2 linked regions of the Lepisosteus oculatus genome follow. The protein of the gene in region 1 purifies or fractionates together with the protein of each later gene. This does not show direct contact. Links are inferred from orthologs where the notes say so. Each region holds a gene or a part of one and is shown on either strand. Other genes may lie near its edges. The genes, in order: apaf1 and cycsb.

The links.
Region 2: the proteins of apaf1 (region 1) and cycsb purify together in Homo sapiens (affinity purification with western blotting; 3 studies listed by BioGRID and IntAct, with this or other methods). This does not show direct contact. The link is inferred for Lepisosteus oculatus from reciprocal best matches to the Homo sapiens genes APAF1 and CYCS.

Annotation. Positions count from the first base shown.
Region 1 is NC_090702.1:55,217,653-55,228,057, forward strand, and holds the start of apaf1 (apoptotic protease-activating factor 1), read left to right. Parts: upstream 1-5,580; 5' UTR 5,581-5,720; intron 5,721-7,572; 5' UTR 7,573-7,655; coding exon 7,656-7,793; intron 7,794-10,097; coding exon 10,098-10,287; intron 10,288-10,405. Other genes in the region: ccdc87 (coiled-coil domain-containing protein 87), read left to right, coding at 162-276, 450-592, 1,249-1,449. UniProt on the Homo sapiens protein: Oligomeric Apaf-1 mediates the cytochrome c-dependent autocatalytic activation of pro-caspase-9 (Apaf-3), leading to the activation of caspase-3 and apoptosis. This activation requires ATP. Isoform 6 is less effective in inducing apoptosis.
Region 2 is NC_090707.1:17,826,181-17,836,173, reverse strand, and holds cycsb (cytochrome c), read left to right. Parts: upstream 1-6,318; 5' UTR 6,319-6,427; intron 6,428-7,437; 5' UTR 7,438-7,446; coding exon 7,447-7,615; intron 7,616-7,709; coding exon 7,710-7,858; 3' UTR 7,859-7,951; downstream 7,952-9,993. UniProt on the Homo sapiens protein: Electron carrier protein. The oxidized form of the cytochrome c heme group can accept an electron from the heme group of the cytochrome c1 subunit of cytochrome reductase.

The sequences.
Region 1 (10,405 bases):
CACACCGCAGTGCGCAGTGTGATGTAACCATCCTTGTCGGCCTCCCACACTCCTACGTCGGAAAGCGCACACAGAAGAGCTGGAGCTTAACTCAGAGCAGATAGCAAAGTACAGGTTAAAACAGAGCATTCAGAAACGCGTTTTGTGGGTTTTGTCTCCAGGCAACCACTGCTTGGGAAAGAGCCGTCCAATTCATCCAGCAGAGGGAGTCCTTGCTAGCTAAACTGGAGCGATTCGAGAGGAATGCTTCCGATCCCAACAGGTTTTTTGAACGAGGTACTGTTCTGACAGCTTTATTGTGTAATTCATAAAATAACTCCTATATTGAACAGCGTCCTGTTGATGCCCTTAAAACCAGTAAGAACCTCACTTGACATGATGATCTTAAGCAGTGAAAAGCGAAATGAGCAACAAACCATGATGTACAGTATTGCATCAATTTTGTGTAGGGTATCGTGGTACATCAATTGCAAGATTGGACGAATCTAAGCGAAGGGGAAAACTGCACTCCGAGATCTCCGCTGTTGAAAGCCTGTTGTCGAAGGCTGTGCATCGAGTCAAAGATCACTTCAATGACACGGTCACATATAAAGTAAGTGGCACTTGTATGTCCTCAGCTTCCGAAAAGTTTAAAGCACACTCAGGCTTTTTTTGTGTGCTGTTGTCTTTGCCTCTGTAGATTAACACGCTTAAAGCTTGCAATCACTATTTTTCAATATTCTTGCTTTTCCCTTTTGTCCTGAACAATCCCACTAGGATCACCTGAAATGTTAGAACTTGCACAGGTGAGGAGAAATGCTGTTTCTTAGCTGTCTCTAGAATGGAACTCAGTGCCAGCGCTGTAAATCTGTGTATTCAGGGCAGACTACTGTAGGACTGTGTAGTTTTTACACTGTTTTGGAATATGAAAGCTTGCTCACTTCCAGCAGATGGAAAACAAACTGAAATTTGAACTACATCTGATTCAGATAACCAGCAGCTAATAATCGCAAAAGAAATTGTGATGGGGATGAGAAAACATTTTGTAAATCCTTCAGGATTACATGAAAACATAATATTGAATGTTGCATATTTACGCTACCCTCCTTCTCAACAGAAAATGAGCCTTTTTGATTCTATTCACACAAAGTCAAGTGTCTGAGCCCTTCCTTTTGCGCGCTGCGATGGTGCTTGTGCTCATTACTGACGTGATGTGTGTTATGCAGCAACAGCGCCGGATCTCTGACTGCTCTGTTCGGCCTGTTTCAGGGCCGGCCCTATGCCGAGAAGATGCGCTGGGACAAAATCGAGATGCTCTACTGGCTGCAGCAGGGGCGCCGCATGCAGGCCATGGACAGGGTGCTAGAGTGTGGGGTGGGCCAGCCCGTCAGGCTGCCCCCCCTGCAGCTGCCACCCCAGCCTGGCTCAGGAGTAGCGGGGCACTCCCTGACGCACCCCACACCGCTGTGAGCGTGCCCACCCCTCAGCACCGCTCTCATCCTGGGACACCTGGACTCGCTCGCTTTTTACTTTTGAACTACTTGTCAGATTAAAGCACATTGAGAGGAAAAAATCCTCTTGATGTTGCAAGAAAATATATGATATGAGAAATGAATAAAAGCAGTTTCAGCAAGGGATGTTTGATGGCAAGTGCTTCAGCCAGGTGTGTTGGGGCTGTGCCTGTGGAAGTTTTTCAGGTGAGCGGAGTTTACCGTATCGGGACATTTCATTCATATATCAATTAAATAAAGGATTCGTTTACAGAATCCCACAAGACAGCATCTAAAACCTGGTGCCAAAAGGCCATGTCGCAGATGTACAGCTTGTGCTTTGTCCACACACACTACTAGACTCTTGACATTCATTGCTGACTCATCTTGATCATCCCCGTTGATGACAAATACACCTCAGTCTAAAACATTTACCTATGTCATGTCTAACCAACAGAATGACTGCATCTGTGCCAAAAAGGGTAATGATTTTCCTAATGACTTTATCTATATGTTGTAGTCAAAAGTAATAGTTATTTTTCTGATTCTCCGTGTACAACCCTTTCCGGTGTAAGGAATATGGATTGTGAGGATGTTGTGGATCAAAACTGTGTTTTTATTTAGATCTTTTATACTCCATTAATAATTCATTTTTTCTTTCATAAGCCAACACTAAATATTTAAGAGAGTAACAAGGGTTGTAAAGTAGGACATCCAAGAAGGAACTTTTAAAGTTTTAAACACAGATCTTTATGTTTAAAAGACCACATTGCGGTGCCTACAAATTTAAGCAATTTCTTCCTCAGAACTTTCTCCCTCAGAATATCTCTTGATAAAAGGGAAAAATGGACATGCCCAGAATGAATATGCAGGAATGTTAGAGACATAATAAAAGTCTTACATGTAAAAGTGTTACCAAAAACTTGATCTCAGAAGCTGAGAAAGGCTGGCTCTGCTCACTTATCAGATAGGAAACCTCTACGACAAACAAGGTTGCTGGTGTAAATGTTGGTAGAACAGTAGCAGTAACAGGTTGGAGAATCTAAACCGGAATCTCCTATCTAAAGTCTTCGTATGCTGCCTGGGGATACCGTCCTGTAGGAGGTGTTTTCCTTCAGTTAAGATATTTAGCTGAGGTCCTGATTAGCAGGCCATGATAGAGCCCAAGAGCTTTTACAATCTGGGCTCTGAAGTTTCTCTAACTCAAATGCTGAAGGCTCATCTCTCTCTTTTCTGCTTTATAATCTGTGTGCCGGGGCTTTCAACACAAAACTGGCTGCCATCTGCCACCAAAGGGTTTGCGGCACTTCAGCAATAGATTAATTCGTTCTCCAGCTTTTGGGATATAAAGTGATCTATTAATGTTAAGTAATAATAATTAAAGTTCTTCTACTTCTTCTCTAATGACATATATAGTAACAAGTAAGTAGTTTCAATCTGCTCATCTGTTTCACACGAACATAGAAAAGATTGCAAACAAGAGGAGGCCAGTTGTCCTGTTTGGTCTCTGTGTGCATTCACAAATAACAGTCTGAGGTTATTGTTCTTGCTGAAGTAGACAGGAAGAGCCTGACTATTTTTATATGTAGGGGCAGACCGTGAGAGATAAACCTCAGTAATGTTGTGCAAGGTAAATGTTAATCAGAGTTTTATCTTTACCATTTGATTCAATGTTTAAGTTACGATGAATGACTGAACATTGTAAGTTTGACGCAAGGTGTTGTTGAGGTACACTTAGTACACAGTCTGATACATGAAAGTAGAAGGACTCCTAAGGATTACTATCCTATGGTTCTAGGGGAAGAACTGGTTTTTAAAGTGGAACGACTAGCTTAATCAAACGATGGTCCTTCTGCTTTAAAGAATTGCCCATCCTTTTTAGTCACATGGTCCTTCTGGGTTGTTCCAAGTCCTTGCACTCAGTCGGTCCCACACTTAATGTATTAAAGTATGGGACAAATTGTTTATTCTTAACATATCAACCTGCAGCTCACCGCTGGCAGCCCACTGGAGCTCAGCAGGTGTGAGCCTGGTCAGTACCTGGATGGGAGACCTCCTGGAAAGCTAAGGTTGCTGCTGGAAGAGGTGTTAGTGGGGCCAGCAGGGGGCGCTCACCCTACAGTCTGTGTGGGTCCTAATGCCCCAGTATAGTGATGGGGACACTATACTGTAAAAATGAGTTTATGTAAAATGTGATGAGACATAAAACCGCAGTCCTGACTCTCTGTGGTCATTAAAAATCCTAGGGTGTTTCCCGGAAAGAGTAGGGGTGTAACCCCGGTGTCCTGGCCAAATTTCCCCCTGGCCTTTACCAGTCATGGCCTCCTAATAACCCCCATCTCTGAACTGGCTCCATCACTCTGCTCTCCTCCCCATTGAGAGCTGGTGTGTGGGGAGCGGACTGGCTCATCATCCAGGTGGGGCTGCACAGTGGTGGTGGTGGAGGGGATCCCCATTACCTGTAAAGAGCTTTGAGTGGAGTGTCCAGAAAAGTGCTATATAAGTGTAAGGAATAATAATAATAATAATTATTATTATTATTATTATTATTACTACCACTGTTTTGGGGTATATATGTAATGAAAAAGTCTCTCCAATTGTATTAGGTTTTTGATATTTAGAGATTTTGAAACAGTTGACAAAATCTCATTACCCGTTATCTTTCTGTTGTCCAATCAAATAGTTAAACCTTGTTGTTCAGTATCTCACATACATTGTTTTTTACTGTGGTCCAGTGCTTCTACTGCGCCTCACTTATTAAGTGAGAGATAAGTAACTGGTCAGAGCATACCTTACTCTAAAAGCACGTTTTGACCAGTATGTCACTGGGAGGTTTACTTTCCAAACTCAGGCTGCGGGTGTGAGCCTTGGCATTTGGCCTGACCAGGCATACACCCATGGGTGCAGATGTGAAATACAGACTACTGACAGAGAAACAGTGCAGTTCTCCAATACAGGAGGCCGATTCTGATCAGGCGTTATCTGCGCTGTCCCCAGTTACACATGGCTGAAGGGCAGCTCCATTTCTTCCGAGAGCCTTCTGTGGCAGCTCATCTTCCTCTGAAGAAGGCGGCTTGTCTCATCGGAACGCTAGGTGCTCCTCTCCGAGGTCTTGCGCCTGTGAGCCAGATTGAGGAAGCTGAAATGACATGAGAACATTAGAGTCTGTAGTCTGTATTTCACATCTGCACCCATGGGTGTATGGCGGACGGACCCTGGTCAGGCCAACTGCCAAGGCCCACACCTGCAGCCTGAGTTTGGAAAGAAAACCTCCCAGTGACATACCAGCCAAAACGTGCTTTTAGAGTAAGGTATGCTCTGGCCAGTTACTTATCTCTCACTTAATAAGTGAGGCGCAGTAGAAGCACTGGACCACAGTAAAAAACAATGTATGTGAGATACTGAACAACAAGCAGGTGTGCAAGCAGTGTGAGGGAGTGAAATACCTGGTCACTCACCTGTACTGGGCGCCTCGCAGAGTCTCACGGGCTCTTGGGCTGCTTCCTGAGCATAGTGCCCAAGAGGAACCCAGACCACTCGAGTGTCTTCTGCTTTCGTCAAAGGGGCGCATCTTGTTTCAGGTCGCCATACAGCTGGTGTATTTTAGCGAGCGCTCTGTATTCCTGTGTCTGAGCCATGGTGATGAAATGTGTTGCTGTTGTGAAGACACTGTCTACCACGAGGCGTGAGAGTCGAGGGGGTGGACGGGGTTTAACGGCTAGACCTTGATTTATAAACGCTCTTCCTCGGTCTCAGGGATAATTATTAAAATGAGCGAAATAATTAATTGTAATTATTATTTCCACGTTCGTTTAAGCCGTTTAATTAAAATTAACTTAAGGTGATCACACAATGCATTGGGTCAATATCGGCACATTTGCACATCTTTATCTTCATGCACAGAGAGCATACAGAGTCTCATTATAAAAGACATTATTAATGCACATTCCATGTTGCCCTATGGAACTCACTGCTCTGCCCAGATACAGCAGAGGTAGGCGGAGTCCCCCGCGTATCATGTGACCCAAGGGCGCGCAGCCAATTGGATGGCCGAACCAGGAAGTTGTTTCCACTCCAGGAAGTGCATTTAAACTGGTCTGACGTAAGGGAGGCGTTCTTTCTTGAAACATGTAAACAGAAACTGAACAGGGAGGAGCTGGTAATAGTTTCTGAAACCCTGAATTGCATCGGACATGAGACTATAGACGATGTAGAGGAAATTGAGATGCAAAGAAAACAACACTCCTTCTGGTAAGCGTCTTTAATTTGTTGGGGACTTGTGAGAAATTTATTTTTTATGTAATTCAACAACTGGTAGTTCATTATAATCAGCCCGACCGATTTGGACGTTGATCTCAGGTTCTGAGATCTGATAAACCTTGCCCGTTTATATAGATGCAAAAGAGGTGCTATCTAAGAGGAAATGTGTTTCTATGGTGACTTTTTAAATGTTAAACACGTACTCTGGATTTGCACTCGAAGGCTAACTGACGGTGGTCTTTCTGTAATTTCACGACAATTGATTTAAATGTCTCTTTCAGTTCAGTACAGAGAGTAGTTCATTCTCGGGTATTTACAGCCTGCTTCTCACAGGAATATTATCTTCAGTATTTGAAACAAATCCCTCGTTTTTTTAACTCCGTTCCTTCGTTGTGACTGCTCTTTTGGTCAAATCAACTAACGAATTTTACCTTTAAAACAGCAGTTTCGCCCAAGCATGTCAGCATTTTTTCCGTTTTACCCGAAATGCTGACATGCATGTAGAAAACAAAATTTCTACATTTTCTAGTAGTGCAGACCTTCCTCTCAACCTGTTTTAAAAGTTCTACAGTCCTCTTACGTGTCTTATTTTTATGATAAAGTAAAAGTTAAGTAAAGTTAAAGTATGATATGGTAACATTTAGTTATAAATAGAAAATATAAATATGCAAAGCATGCTTTGTTCGGAAATACAGAAATAGCTTGGCAAAGTGAAACAGGTCTCCACTATAGGTGTGGAGAAATCGATAGATTTGGTACTACGTCTCATCTTGGAACAATGACGAGAGAAAATAGGTTTCAATCTGAAACGGCGTTTTACCTTTATCAGCTGCTAAGAGAAATGATTGCTTCGGAAAAACTTTCAGCTAATGTTCTTATATTAGTAGTTCAGGCACAAAGTGAAAGAGACAGTACTACTTCAAAATGACTCAAGTGTAAACTTGTCAAGTGAACTTTGTTCCGTATAGGTTATTTTCGCGCTGCTTCCGAATGTTGTTATTAGGTAGGTTTAATGCCATCTGTATTTTATTTCCGTTTTGAAGAAAACCTTTGCAAATTGTCACTGGCCATTTGATCCTCGCACACAAACTCAATTGCCATAATTGTAGCAATATGTTTAAATATCTTTGGCTGTTTTTCAGAACCTCAAATAAACATTTATCTTTTCCTTTTTTAATATGGTCAAATTTAGTCTGGTTGTTTTTAAAGTGTAAATTCTGCAAAGTCTAAATGAATTCCTTACACTTATTATATAGCGCTTTTCTGGACACTCAAAGTGCTTTACAGGTAATGGGGATCTCCTCCACCACCACCAGTGTGCAGCCCCACCTGGATGATGCACCAGTACTTTTCCCACAGACCAGCTCTCAGTGGGGAGGAGAGCAGAATGATGAAGCCAGTTCAGAGATGGGGGTTATAAGGAGGCCAAGACTGGTAAAGGCCAAGGAGAAATTTGGCCAGGAAGCCAGGGTTACACCCCTACTCTTTTCAAGAAACACCCTACGATTTTTAATGACCACAGAGAGTCAGGACCTCAGTTTTACGTCTCATCCGAAGGACGGCACCTTTTTACAGTACAGTGTCCCCGTCACTGTACTGGGGCATTAGGACTGACATAGACCACAGGGTGAGCGCCCCCTGCTGGCCCCACTAACACCTCTTCCAGCAGCAGCCTCAGCTTTCCCAGGAGTCTCCCATCCAGGTACTGGCCAGGCTCACACCTGCTGGGCTTCAGTGGGCTGCCAGTGGTGAGCTGCAGGGTGACAGAGCTGCTGGCTGCTTTAGGTCTGGTTATAGGCCAGCTGCTGTGATGTGTCTTGTTGCTTTTCTTTTGTTTGTACAGCCTGACGTCGGCTGTCTTACTGGTGCCGCTGGTGTCTCCTGGCCGGAGTGAGAGCTGCATGTGTTGTTTCCAGCGGAGAGGTCATGGAGGAGCGGGCTCGCAGCAGGCTGTTGTGCTCCAGGTCCAAACTGGAGGACGATATCAAGGCCCTCTACCTCATGGACCACATGGTTAGCGATGAGGTGCTCAGCGCAGATGAAGAGGAGACCGTCAAAGCCAAGGTGTGCTTCCTTTTTCAGAAGCTTAGTGTTGAGCCTCCGGTATTTTAACCTAGAGTCCATATTCAGTCCTCCTGTTGGTGTCCCTCAGCTGACTAGACTTGAGTGCTCCTTGATGTTTAAGGTTCGATCCTGGGTGACATTTCTGATTGGTTGGCTGTGGGCGAAAGGAGAGAAATCCCATATTCACATCACTCCACTTGGTACAACAACAGGCTTCACTTCATGAAACCTCATGGGTCTAAACTTGGAACGTAGATAAAGCACTCTGTTCATTTACAAGCTTTTAAGCTACACCAGCAGTCCTGTGAAATGCACTGACTGTCACAAGTACAGCATGTTGTGGGAAACTGATTGAAGAAGGGAAGAGTAATTCTGGAACCCTTCCCCCCCCCAGAGTTTATGAGCTAACATATTCTTTAATCCTCTGAGGTTAATTTAACATCTTACTGAATGTGTCAGTCTTAGCTTGAGTATTGATGGTCCTGGTCTGTTAAGCAACTCCAGTTAGAAATGTTGGCGTCTTTGATCCAAACCTTGAATATGAAGCTCATGTTCATTATGTTGTAAAAGTGACATTTATCATGTTCATAATATCACTTGTATCCATTTATATGGCTCTCAACCTAATACAGAAAAGCTAATGCGTGCTTTTGTCTTAGCAGACTATTTTGATAGAGTGCTCTCTTGGGTTTCCAAAACATGATTTTCAAGTTGCAGCGTATTAACAGCTCAGGCTGCTCAGAACTGAACTAAAACTAAAATGCATGCGTGAACAGTTTGGCTCCTCATGAGATGAGTGAAGTGTTAATCCCCTACACATCTACGTGCTCTTTAGACTCTTATTTCAGTCCCCAATGCGAGGCTCCGGACCCTGTGGGGGACCCCGAGGGTCTGCTTTCTGTCCCATTGCTCCGAGGTTGCAAAGTGATCTCCCACCACGGATCAGATCTCGCAAGACAGTCAGCACTTTTGGCTCCTGTCTTCCAGCTCATTGGCACACTTGTATTCGTTTGATTTGCTGTTATTTGTGTGTTCCCATATCGGTATTTTTGATTGGTCCAATTATAATGAGGAGCCTTGAATTTAACATCATGAAAAGCACTCGGCACAAAAGTTTATTAGTAGTAATGATCAAATTTCACCTGACTGAAAAAGTAAAAATAATGCAGTTGTTAGCGGTTTAGGCTGTAAGGACATGAGAAAACAATGTGAATAGGCCGTTTAGCAGCAGATCTCATTGTTTTGTGTGCACATTGGTCATACAGAGACATGAGAACACAACGTTTCTTATGATCTTGGAGTCAGCTGATGAGCCTTTCCATCCCATGTTCTTGAATGGGCTTATGGCTCTCCCAACAGGAGTGCTTTTGACACCTGATCCCTCACAAGCCTTGAATGAAAGAAGAGCAGCTGACAAGTCACAGCACTTTTTACAGTGTGCATTTTCTGGTGGAGCTGCTATGTGTTTCCTTCCTCTTTTCACGCTGCTGTGTTGGTGTGATGAGCGCCGGACGTGTTTTTAACCTGTGTCTTGTGAAATAGTTTAACTGCCATTGTCCCACGGGAGAGATATGTGGGTAGCACAGTAGAGGAGCAGCAAGCACTTTCAGTTTCTGTGCTTTCTACAGTTGGGTGCCTTCTGTATGGAGCCCTGCGTGTTCTGTCTCTGGGCACTCCTGTGTCCTCCTGCTTCTTATCTTGATTGCCTCTGTGTGTACAGTCAGGACAGTCATGTATGCCCTGCAGTTGGCGGTGTCCTGATTTGTGACCTGTGTTTCCTGGAGAGGTTTCTGTGACCCTGGCCAGTAATAATCTGCTTTCTTTTATGATGTCCTGTATCTGAAACAGCGGGCGCTTATATCTGCAGTTTGCTCCATTTTCCACAGTTGCAGTATTTTTTGACCTTGTCAGAAGCCTAAAAGTTTCCATTATGAGATTAAAAGTCTTACTCCATCTCGGCGTGTTGTCAGGTGTCTCTGCTATTGCTTCATTAGTTCTATTCATTGAGAGTTTAATTGTCCCCATTACAAGTGTGTGTGACTGTGTGTGTTCTGTCATGAACTGGCGTCCCTGGGTGAAAGTAACCCTGGGTGTAACTTGGTGTCCCGCAAAGTGGCAAAGAAAAGTAACAGAGGTGCTCAAAAAAAATAAAACGATTTGTTTTCTCAAGGTGTCATGGCAAACCTATTGAAGATCTGCTGTTTAAGATCAACAGCTTTCAGCATGATGACATTCACCTGGTCTACTCTTAACCCTGTGTTCTGTACCTTTGTGTTTAATTTCCTTTTTCCTCTCGACCGACAGGCAACCCGGAGGGAGCAAGCGGCCGCCTTGATCGATTTGATTTTAAGGAAGGATAACCATGCCTACGTCTCTCTCTACAACGCTCTGATCCGCGAGAGCTACAGTGACCTCGCCTCCCTGCTGCAGAAGGACCTTCCTCTGATCTCGCCCAGAGCCGACAAGAGCTTCCCGGATGGCGAGAATCCCGGAGGTGAGGTCGCGCAGCGGTTTTCCTGCGTTATCACCTGTATTCGAAAAATATCCGTGTTGTGCAGTGCAGTCTTATTGTGTAATGTATGCAGACCAGGGATTCCAAATATAGAGTTATT
Region 2 (9,993 bases), on another chromosome or scaffold:
TTGGTGGGGATGGTGTTGTCTACGCAGAAGTTAATATAGTCAGTGACACAGTCCACCATGCTGTCTATGTCGTCCCCATGTGGTTCGAACAGCACATCCCAGTTGGTGGCCTCCAAAGCACCACGTAGATCCTCCATAGCATCCTGAGACCATCTCCTCACAGTCCTCATGGTCACAGATTGGCGCTGGACAATAGGCTTGTATAGTGGTGTAAGCAAGACAAGGTTGTGATCTGATCTGCCAAGGGGGGGAAGGGCTGTGGAACTATATGCATCCTTAGCATTGGCATATAATAAGTCCAGTGTTTTGTTTTCCCTGGTCGGGCACTTAACAAACTGGTGGAAAGTAGGCAGAGTGGTGGAAATAGATACGTGGTTAAAGTCCCCTGAAATAGCTATAAAAGCGCTTGGGTGCTTTGTTTGTAGCCTGCCTGTGACTGTGTTTATGACGTCACACGCTACCTCTGCATTTGCCGTAGGTGGAATGTAAACAACAACAAAGATGGCGCATGTAAACTCCCGCAGCAGATAGTATGGACGCAGTCCTACGGCTACCAGTTCGATGTCCGGGTTACAGACGCGCTCCTTAACATGAATATGTCCAGGATTACACCATCTGTTGTTTACAAGCACCGCGAGCCCCCCTCCTTTCCTCTTACCGCTCTCGGTGTTTCTGTCCGCCCGCACCGTCTGAAAGCCGCCGATGGTAACGTTCGAGTCCGGAATAAGTTCCTGCAGATGGACATATTTGTTGAATACTTGCTGAATAAACACAAAAAATTGAAAATAAAATAGAAACCAATCCACAAAAATGCAGTTATCAGATGAAGAGCATTGCTCTGTAAGGGAAAAAGTAAAGGTTTATGCTGAAAAGAGAAGAAAAAAAACACAACTGTAATGAATGCGTCCTTTCAGGACCCTATGCAGATGACACAATCTGAGGAAGAGTGAGGAAAACACAGGGAAAAAAGCATGCAGGGGTCAGGATTGAAAACAGGGGGTGTGTCCATGGTGCGCAGGTGTTCTGGGGGGTGAATCCAAGGCAAACTGTCCAAAAGGGAGTCCAAAGGGAAATCCAAGATGAGGCAAATGTCCAGAGCCGGGTGGTCCATCCGAGACTAAGACAAATGGGATTAAAAACCGAAGGGGGATTCGGGGGATTCGGTGGACGGTCAGGGGGAAAAGGGGGGGAACGGGACCAGGCACTACAAGTCCCGGACTCCCCTGGAACAGGAACCAATGCAGAGCCCGGAACAGAGTGAGCGACTGGCTTTTAAGGTGGGCTGAATAGGAGGCTGGAACAGGGGGCAGGTTCCCACAATCAACCCAGAAGTGAAAGAGCTGGAGCACCCTTAAGGGGGAGGGACTACAATCATGACAACAACGTTTTGGCTGTGTAGCTTTCTTCAGGTGAGAGAAAAAGAGGAAAGTCAATAGATAATAAAGCATGGGAGAACAAAAGGCAGAGTGGGCACTCAGATGTCGAGAGAGGTGAAGACAGGTGTAAAGTGAAAACCTGCAAATGAAGAGAGAGGATTAGAAGGAAATGTGTCTGTTGTTGAGAGAAGGGGGAAGGATAATTTTGGTTTCAGATGTCTTTCTGCAATAGGAGCGTAGAAACTCCCCTTTGAGAACGCAGACGGAGAGATCAGTATGATCATGGCCATTGGAGGTGAAATGAGAAACTATGGGCTTGGAGAGATCTTTGATCCTCACAGCCCTGACATATTACCTGAAGCGGTCTCCCAGTCTCCTTCCTGTTTCCCCAATGTAGATACAGTAGCTGGGCATTTTCTGCAAGAGATCCAGTAGATAAGGCTGCTAGAGGTACAATATGTCATCTGGGTGATCCAGAATTGTCCAGAGGGGCCTTGAATGTGTGTGGTATTGGATATACAGTATACGTATTTACAGGTTATGCAGCGAATTCTGTTGCAGGGGAAAGTGCCTGGTGTGGATGATTGCTGAGGGCGGACAAGGGAGCTGTGAACAAAAATGTTAGGCAGATTAGGTGGTTTGAAATATGAGATGGTGGGGCAGGCATAAAAAATGGTACCAGTGGAGGGATCATCCGGTAAGATGGGGAAGTTTTTGTTAATGGTCCTGGTGATAGAAAGGATGTTAGGGTGACAGGGAAGCACCAATGAAATGCAGTTGTGAGACTGGAAATTCCTGATTGAGTTGATGATATGAGGGCTGTTTATGGCTAAGGTGAGGGCCCTGTCAATAACATGGGTGTATCCTCTGCTGATGGAAAAAAAGATGTTTTTGGAAATCCATGTCATCACTGCAAAGTCGTCAGAGCCTTAGGAACTGTGAAAAAGGGAGAGAATTTTTAGTTTGTGTGGGGTGAAATGAGCTGTACAAGAGATAGCTGTGTGAATCTGTGGGTTTGTAATAGACAGAAGTAGAGTCGTGGTTGGTTAATGGATAGGTTTATGTCTAGAAATGGAATAGAAGAAGATATGTTAACTGTATACTTGAGGGATGGGTGGAAGTTGATGAAGTGATGCTGGAAATGCTCTAGCTGGTCATTAGAGCATGTGGCGACACCGATGCAGTCATCAATGTAGACGTTGGGGACAACATTGGTGTAGGCAGCATAGAAGCATTTTTCTACCCAGCCGACAAAAATATCATAGCTGAGTCCCATCCTGGTGCCCATGGCGACTCCACTAACCTGCTCATAAAAAAGGTTATTGAATGAGAAAGCATTCAGTGTGAGGACCAATTCCGCAAGACGTACAAGATGTGATGTCCATGGTAAAAATGTAACATTCTGGGCCCTGAAACTGGAAATCATTAAAAAGTTAGAGGGTATGGTTGGTGTCCTTGATATATGAAGGAAGCCCTTCAACCAGCGGTCTCATAAGGCTGTCGAAAAAGGCAGAGATGTGAGTTGTGGGACAGTTGCATGCTGAGACGATAGGGTGTCCAGGGGTTGCTCTGTAAGGTCAGCAGTTTGGAGCAATGGTCAGAACTCTGACCAAATCAGGACCAACTTTGTAAGTGAAAGGTTGTGATTTCATATCCTAATTGAGATACTGCTATGGTACCCCTAGATGAAGTACTTCACCTAAATTGTTCCAGGGAAATGTCCAGCTATATGAACAGGTAAAAATGTAAAGTTGCTTTGGATGTTAGTGTCAGCCAAATAAAAATGTACAGCAACCGTAAAACGGGATGTAGTAGCTATTATGTGAAATTATTAACTGATTTTTGTATCATTCTGCAGAAGGTGATTTTGCAGTTTATTGTTTAACAATTCACCAGTTTTTAATGTAGGTCACATGGATAAATGGGTAAGTTAAAGAATTAAAAGTAAGAAAAAAAACACCAACACACAAGCCAGAGGAAAAAAAAGACTTGACACAGGTGTGCAAATTATAATGAGCTCTTTACTAACTCTTGCCTATAGCAAAATGCATCAGATAGAAGTCCTGGCACAAAAGATCAGAAAATCTGCCAGCAGCTCATTGTATCAAGGAATCCCATGAGATGCATTTCCCAATTTGGAGTGTAACATACTGTACATATAAACCTTATCTAGGCCATGGCAAAGTTGCAGTGTCATCATGAATCTCTTCTCATCCCTGGGTTGTGTTCTGGGACACAATTGCCTGTACATGTTTTTGCTCAATGAATCATACAGTATTTCTTCTATTAATCAAGTGAAGACAGCAATTTTCTGGTATGCTGATGTCAATAAAAAAGAAAAAAAGGCAATCACCTTCCTTACCATTATAATCCTGTGTCTTAGAAAAAATACAGGAATGAGTAGCTTAACCATCAAGTGACCTTCAGCAAACTTAATCACATACCTGGGAGCAGTTTTCTACATAGAGAGCAGAGACATTGGTCTTAACCAATATTGCATTACAGTAATTTATTTTACAGATAAACTGATTTTTTTTATCTATATATAAAAGAACTTTTCTTCTCCAGCCAGACTACCCATTTACCCACTGTTTAATGGCTGACTTCAAAGGCTTATGTGTGTTATTTGCTTATTGACAAACATGAAACACATTCATGTTCATTATTCTACTCGACCATGTACTTTTCTATTGCATAATTCATAATTCTTGGATGCATTTAATATAATTTAAAAAATATTCATGGTACAAAGAACTAACATTTCCTAATTTAGAATTTTAAAATGCTGTTATAGATTCGGCAATAACAATGATAATGGAAAAGGAGAACATGCAAATAAAACCATCGTCTTAGATCTATTTCAGAGGGGCTATAAAACCTTAACACACATGTCCCTTTTCAAGAGCTAAACATTCTTATTTCATGCAAAAATCAATCTTAAGAAGCCGCTACTCCATGAGATATAATAATAATACATTGAAAATATTCAACAGATATAACCACAAAGACCCCCAAATGCATGACGTGTGTTAATGAGCAAAACTCAAAGTTGCGAAATGTTATTTTGGACGACCATAGGGTTGCCATTCCAAAATATCTATGCATCAGACTTCTATCTGATGCATTTTGCTATAGGCAAGAGTTAGTAAAGAGCTCATTATAATTTGCACACCTGTGTCAAGTCTTTTTTTTCCTCTGGCTTGTGTGTTGGTGTTTTTTTTCTTACTTTTAATTCTTTAACTTACCCATTTATCCATGTGACCTACATTAAAAACTGGTGAATTGTTAAACAATAAACTGCAAAATCACCTGCATTTATCATGAATCTCTTCTCATCCCTGGGTTGTGTTCTGGGACACAATTGCCTGTACATGTTTTTGCTCAATGAATCATACAGTATTTCTTCTATTAATCAAGTGAAGACAGCAATTTTCTGGTATGCTGATGTCAATAAAAAAGAAAAAAAGGCAATCACCTTCCTTACCATTATAATCCTGTGTCTTAGAAAAAATACAGGAATGAGTAGCTTAACCATCAAGTGACCTTCAGCAAACTTAATCACATACCTGGGAGCAGTTTTCTACATAGAGAGCAGAGACATTGGTCTTAACCAATATTGCATTACAGTAATTTATTTTACAGATAAACTGATTTTTTTTATCTATATATAAAAGAACTTTTCTTCTCCAGCCAGACTACCCATTTACCCACTGTTTAATGGCTGACTTCAAAGGCTTATGTGTGTTATTTGCTTATTGACAAACATGAAACACATTCATGTTCATTATTCTACTCGACCATGTACTTTTCTATTGCATAATGCCAATCTACAGTTGTCTCGTTTTCCGCAGTTCAAACCTGCATATCTCATTATGAATCCATAATCTTAAAAATAGACATTTGGCCTTGCTAATTAACAAATCCTGGACAGAGAAGCCAATACATAGATATTTTGGAATGGCAACCCTATGGTCGTCCAAAATAACATTTCGCAACTTTGAGTTTTGCTCATTAACACACGTCATGCATTTGGGGGTCTTTGTGGTTATATCTGTTGAATATTTTCAATGTATTATTATTATATCTCATGGAGTAGCGGCTTCTTAAGATTGATTTTTGCATGAAATAAGAATGTTTAGCTCTTGAAAAGGGACATGTGTGTTAAGGTTTTATAGCCCCTCTGAAATAGATCTAAGACGATGGTTTTATTTGCATGTTCTCCTTTTCCATTATCATTGTTATTGCCGAATCTATAACAGCATTTTAAAATTCTAAATTAGGAAATGTTAGTTCTTTGTACCATGAATATTTTTTAAATTATATTAAATGCATCCTTGTCGCTTTCTGATTCATTCCGGACATATTTAGATGCATTTTTGCTCTCTTGGCAACTCAATATCTGGTAATAACAACTGGATTCTTTACAATAACGTCGTGTCAACGTTTCACCGACAACAGCACAAAAACTGCGCAATGCCACAACATAGACAATGTCCATTAAATGTCCTTTCTTCACCACACTAACCTTGAGATCGGTACTGTTTTAGATACACGCAAAGTAATGAAAAACAGATGAAGGAGCTGGTAAATTATTTGGGTATAACACCACAGTGTCAAATGTACATTTTTAATTTAAAGGTTAAAACTGTTACACTGTAATATCAAACTCTTTTAAACTTTAGTAACCCTGCTAGCAATAGAACAGTCTCCCTGCACGTAATCCGCCCTACAGGTATCAGAAACAGAACACGGACGTGGCACAATGGTTTCGTTTTTTATGATATCTTTAAATTCGCACTGAACCGATCACCCACACGCTCCCATCCTCTTCTCCCATATAAGGACGGGCTATAACTGCTCCCCTGTTTTCGTCACTGTGAGGAAGGTTGGCATGGAGCACATGATTGGCTTGCGCTAGTCTGTGACGTCAATTATCCGCGTCTGTAAATCGTGTGACCTTCTAGTAATTTGTGAAGTTTTTCTTTAACCGGCTGGAGAGGGTGCGGGTGGTGCATTGCATAAGGTTCTTTGTTCTGGGATTTATCATAAAGGTAAGGAATGTTGTTGTGTTTTTCGTCCTTTTTCCTCTTATTTTCTTCCCCATCGATGTTACGTTTGAGCATCTTGAAGTTACGAGTCGTTTAATATATTAAATGTTGTGTCCTTGTTGGAGGTGAGCAAAAAAGGCTTGCGGAAGAGCGCTCTTAGGCCGGCATGTCGATAATGTGAAACCACTGAAGAAAGAGTCCACGAGTGTTTTATTCTTTAAAGATAGATGATATGTCAATTATAAATACCGTCCAATTATTTTCTCTATTTAGTGTAAAATTGAAGCTTTCATTCGGATCACACCGGAAGCTTACTGAGTTCTGTCGCTTAATCGAGTGCAAGTGGCCTTAAAGGCGTGTAAGCGAGTATCGCCTTTTTTGTCATTAAAAACATCTCCAACAGGTGGATTAATCTTTTTATTGGAGTACGGACTTTAAAATGAAAGAAGAAAATGACAAATACGGAAGGCTTGATCAACTGTACAGTTTATATTTAAGTTTAAAATCTCCTTAAAGGTCGTTATTGTTCTGGTGTACTTCAATAGGATTGTGTGACTTGATTAAATCAACTCTATCCCATCTTAAACGTGTTAATTCGAATGTTTGTTCTTGAAAAGCTGTCTTTAGTCACCTTTGATTAACTTACTCCTGTAGCAGATCGTCAGATTATATTAACTTGGTCATAAAAATGTTTGTAAAGAAATGTAGCTGTTCACACATCATTTCAGAAGTTGACCTTTACCAGAATTTTATCACCTTCAGGACATGAGGAGTTTTAAAGATTTTATCATGTTACAATATTGTCAATTACAAATTGTGGTTTATACTTTATTCTTAAAGGATAACTGTTGGCTTTATCATGTTCAAAATAGGATGTGTCTGTAGTTTGAAAGAGCTCCACTTTGTTTAGTTTCATATAAGCTGTCACAAATCCATTCTGAAATATTGAGGTTCATAACATTGTCAGCTGTTTTGGATGATTTTAAATGTTTATTCTTTTCTTGTTTGAACAGGGAGGGATCATGGCTGATGCGGAAAAGGGAAAAAAGGTTTTTGTGCAGAAGTGTGCGCAGTGTCACACGGTTGAGAAGGGAGGAAAGCACAAGGTCGGCCCAAACCTGTGGGGTCTGTTTGGGCGCAAGACGGGCCAGGCAGAAGGCTTTTCTTACACGGAGGCAAACAAGAACAAAGGTATGTAGGTGGATTATATGCTGTATCTGTTGCACAAATGCAGTAACCTCTTGTTTGCAAGACTAATGTCTCTTCTCTCCTGTTTAAATTTCAGGCATTGTGTGGGGTGAAGATACCCTCATGGAATACCTGGAAAACCCGAAGAAATATATTCCAGGAACCAAAATGATTTTTGCTGGCATCAAGAAGAAGGGAGAGCGGGCTGATCTAATTGCATATTTGAAGAAGGCAACGTCTGAATAGAAAATGTTCATCTTAAATTAATTGCAGTGTACAGTCAGCTTTGATGTTATGTCTTTGTTAGTGGACTATATTAAACTTTTTAATCTCTAACAATCACAGTCTGTCTTGTCTTTCTCAGTGTATTATTCTGTAGTTCGCCTTCATCTGTTATGTGAATCACTATTAAATGTTTTATGTTGAATTATCTTAAGTTGTAAATTAAGGGTACAACCTCCAATTCTCAAAGGCATGTTGCACATAAGTCTACCAAAATGATACCCAGATTGTTCCAAAGAACCTCCAATTGGAAGGAGTAAACTTTTTCCCTGGTTCCATGGGTGAAAGTGAAGTTGAGACACTTTTAATCTGGAAATACTAAAATTCTAAAACTAGTTTGTGAAAGCAGCTGTACATCTTTTAAAATAATTATCATGATTGAACTGATGCATCTTTTATTTCAGTTTTATGATAGATGGGGGGCTGTTGTATGTTAGCAACATGATACGGTAGTTTCTTGACAGCGTGCTGATTAAAGCCTTGATTAAAGCTTGGCTGAGAAATAACCTCAGGATCTGCTTATCCTTGAAGAGTTAATACACTTAATAGAGCCTCTCTTCGGGGTTTAATCAGCAATATCCATTTAGTTAATTTGTTTTTAGGTTAATCTAATATTTTAATTTGTTTCTTTCTTCCCTGGTTTTTAGCAAGGACTAAAATGTAATATCTGGCATTTCAGTGTTCACAAGTTTTAAAACTTAAATCAGTTATTTTTAAAATTTGTTTTTTCTTATGCTTCTGACCTTGACAGTTAATTGAATCTGCTCTGTCATTTGCTTGTTCCCACGAAGGATTTTGCCAGGTTTCTACTGAATATCTGTATCTTTGTAATATCTTACAAAGATATTCTAGCGGTCTTCTGGACCCTAAGAAGTGAATCTGTTTAGCCTTAAAAACAGAAGACCACTAGGAGGAGCTTATCCAAATACATTGTTTTTCAGATATTGGACCAAAAAAGGAAAACACTGGGTAATCAGGGATGTCAAGTAGATTAAAAGCAAAGGTTTCCATACAGATGTGCCTCATGTGTTAAGTAAGCAAGTATCATCCCAGCATTCTTTGTGTCAGGTACAAACATGTAAGACAGGCCTGGGTGCCTATAATTACGGCTGCCGTGGCAACAAGAGGGGAGCTCTAACTTTGAAAGTGACAGCATTTAAGGTGCTGTCAGTGTTGAACTCCAAACTAAAGATATCACTGGCAATGGGGAACAGTGCGTGAAAGGGCATACTCTGCGATTGTGATATCCACACATTTGTGTGAAGTGCAAGCCAAAACAGATGAGCAACCCTGGTTGCAAGAAGACTGTTTTATCAAATACATTCTGTTGTGAACTACACAGGGTGGGATACCATTGTCTGGTTGCAGTGTACAAACAGGTTCGGGTGGGTCTGTAATGCTGTGGGACACATTTTTCTGGCATGGTTTTGGTGCACTCAATCCCTTAGGAAGCAAGCGTGTTTCTAATTACTACTTAATGGTACAGAGTGATCATCTCTACCCCATGTTGCAGTATTTATTGTCTTTCAGGATGCCAGTGCCCTCATTCACAGAGCTCGTTTGGTTGCTCAATGGTTTGTTGAGCATTGTACTGATGTTATCCATATGTCATGGTTTTCTCAGTTACCGAATCTGAACCCAGGTGTGTATTTATGGGACATTCTGGTGAGACAATCTTTTCCACCTCCATTAATTAAACTTGAGTTGATAGACATTCTCATTGAAGAATAGTGCTGCATCCCTCCTGCAAAATTCCAGACATGCTAGAGTCTATGTGTACCTACACAGGCCTTATTGGTCACACGTGGTGGCCCAGTGCCTTTAAGTGATTTTACAATATTTTGCTGTTTTCATTATTTTTTGTTCGCTGCCAACACCCTGTGCTTCTCCAGACCAAACAGTGAAACTCAAAGCAGAGCGTAAAAGTAGAAATTACAAGAGAGTGCACTGTAAATTAAAAACAGGGGGGTACTTCTTTACACAGAGGGTTGTGGGAGTGTGGAACAGGCTGTTGCATACATGTTATTGAACATGTTGTAGCCGGTACCTTGTATCTTTTAAGAAACCCTTGGATGAGATCCTGGATCCATTAGGTGATG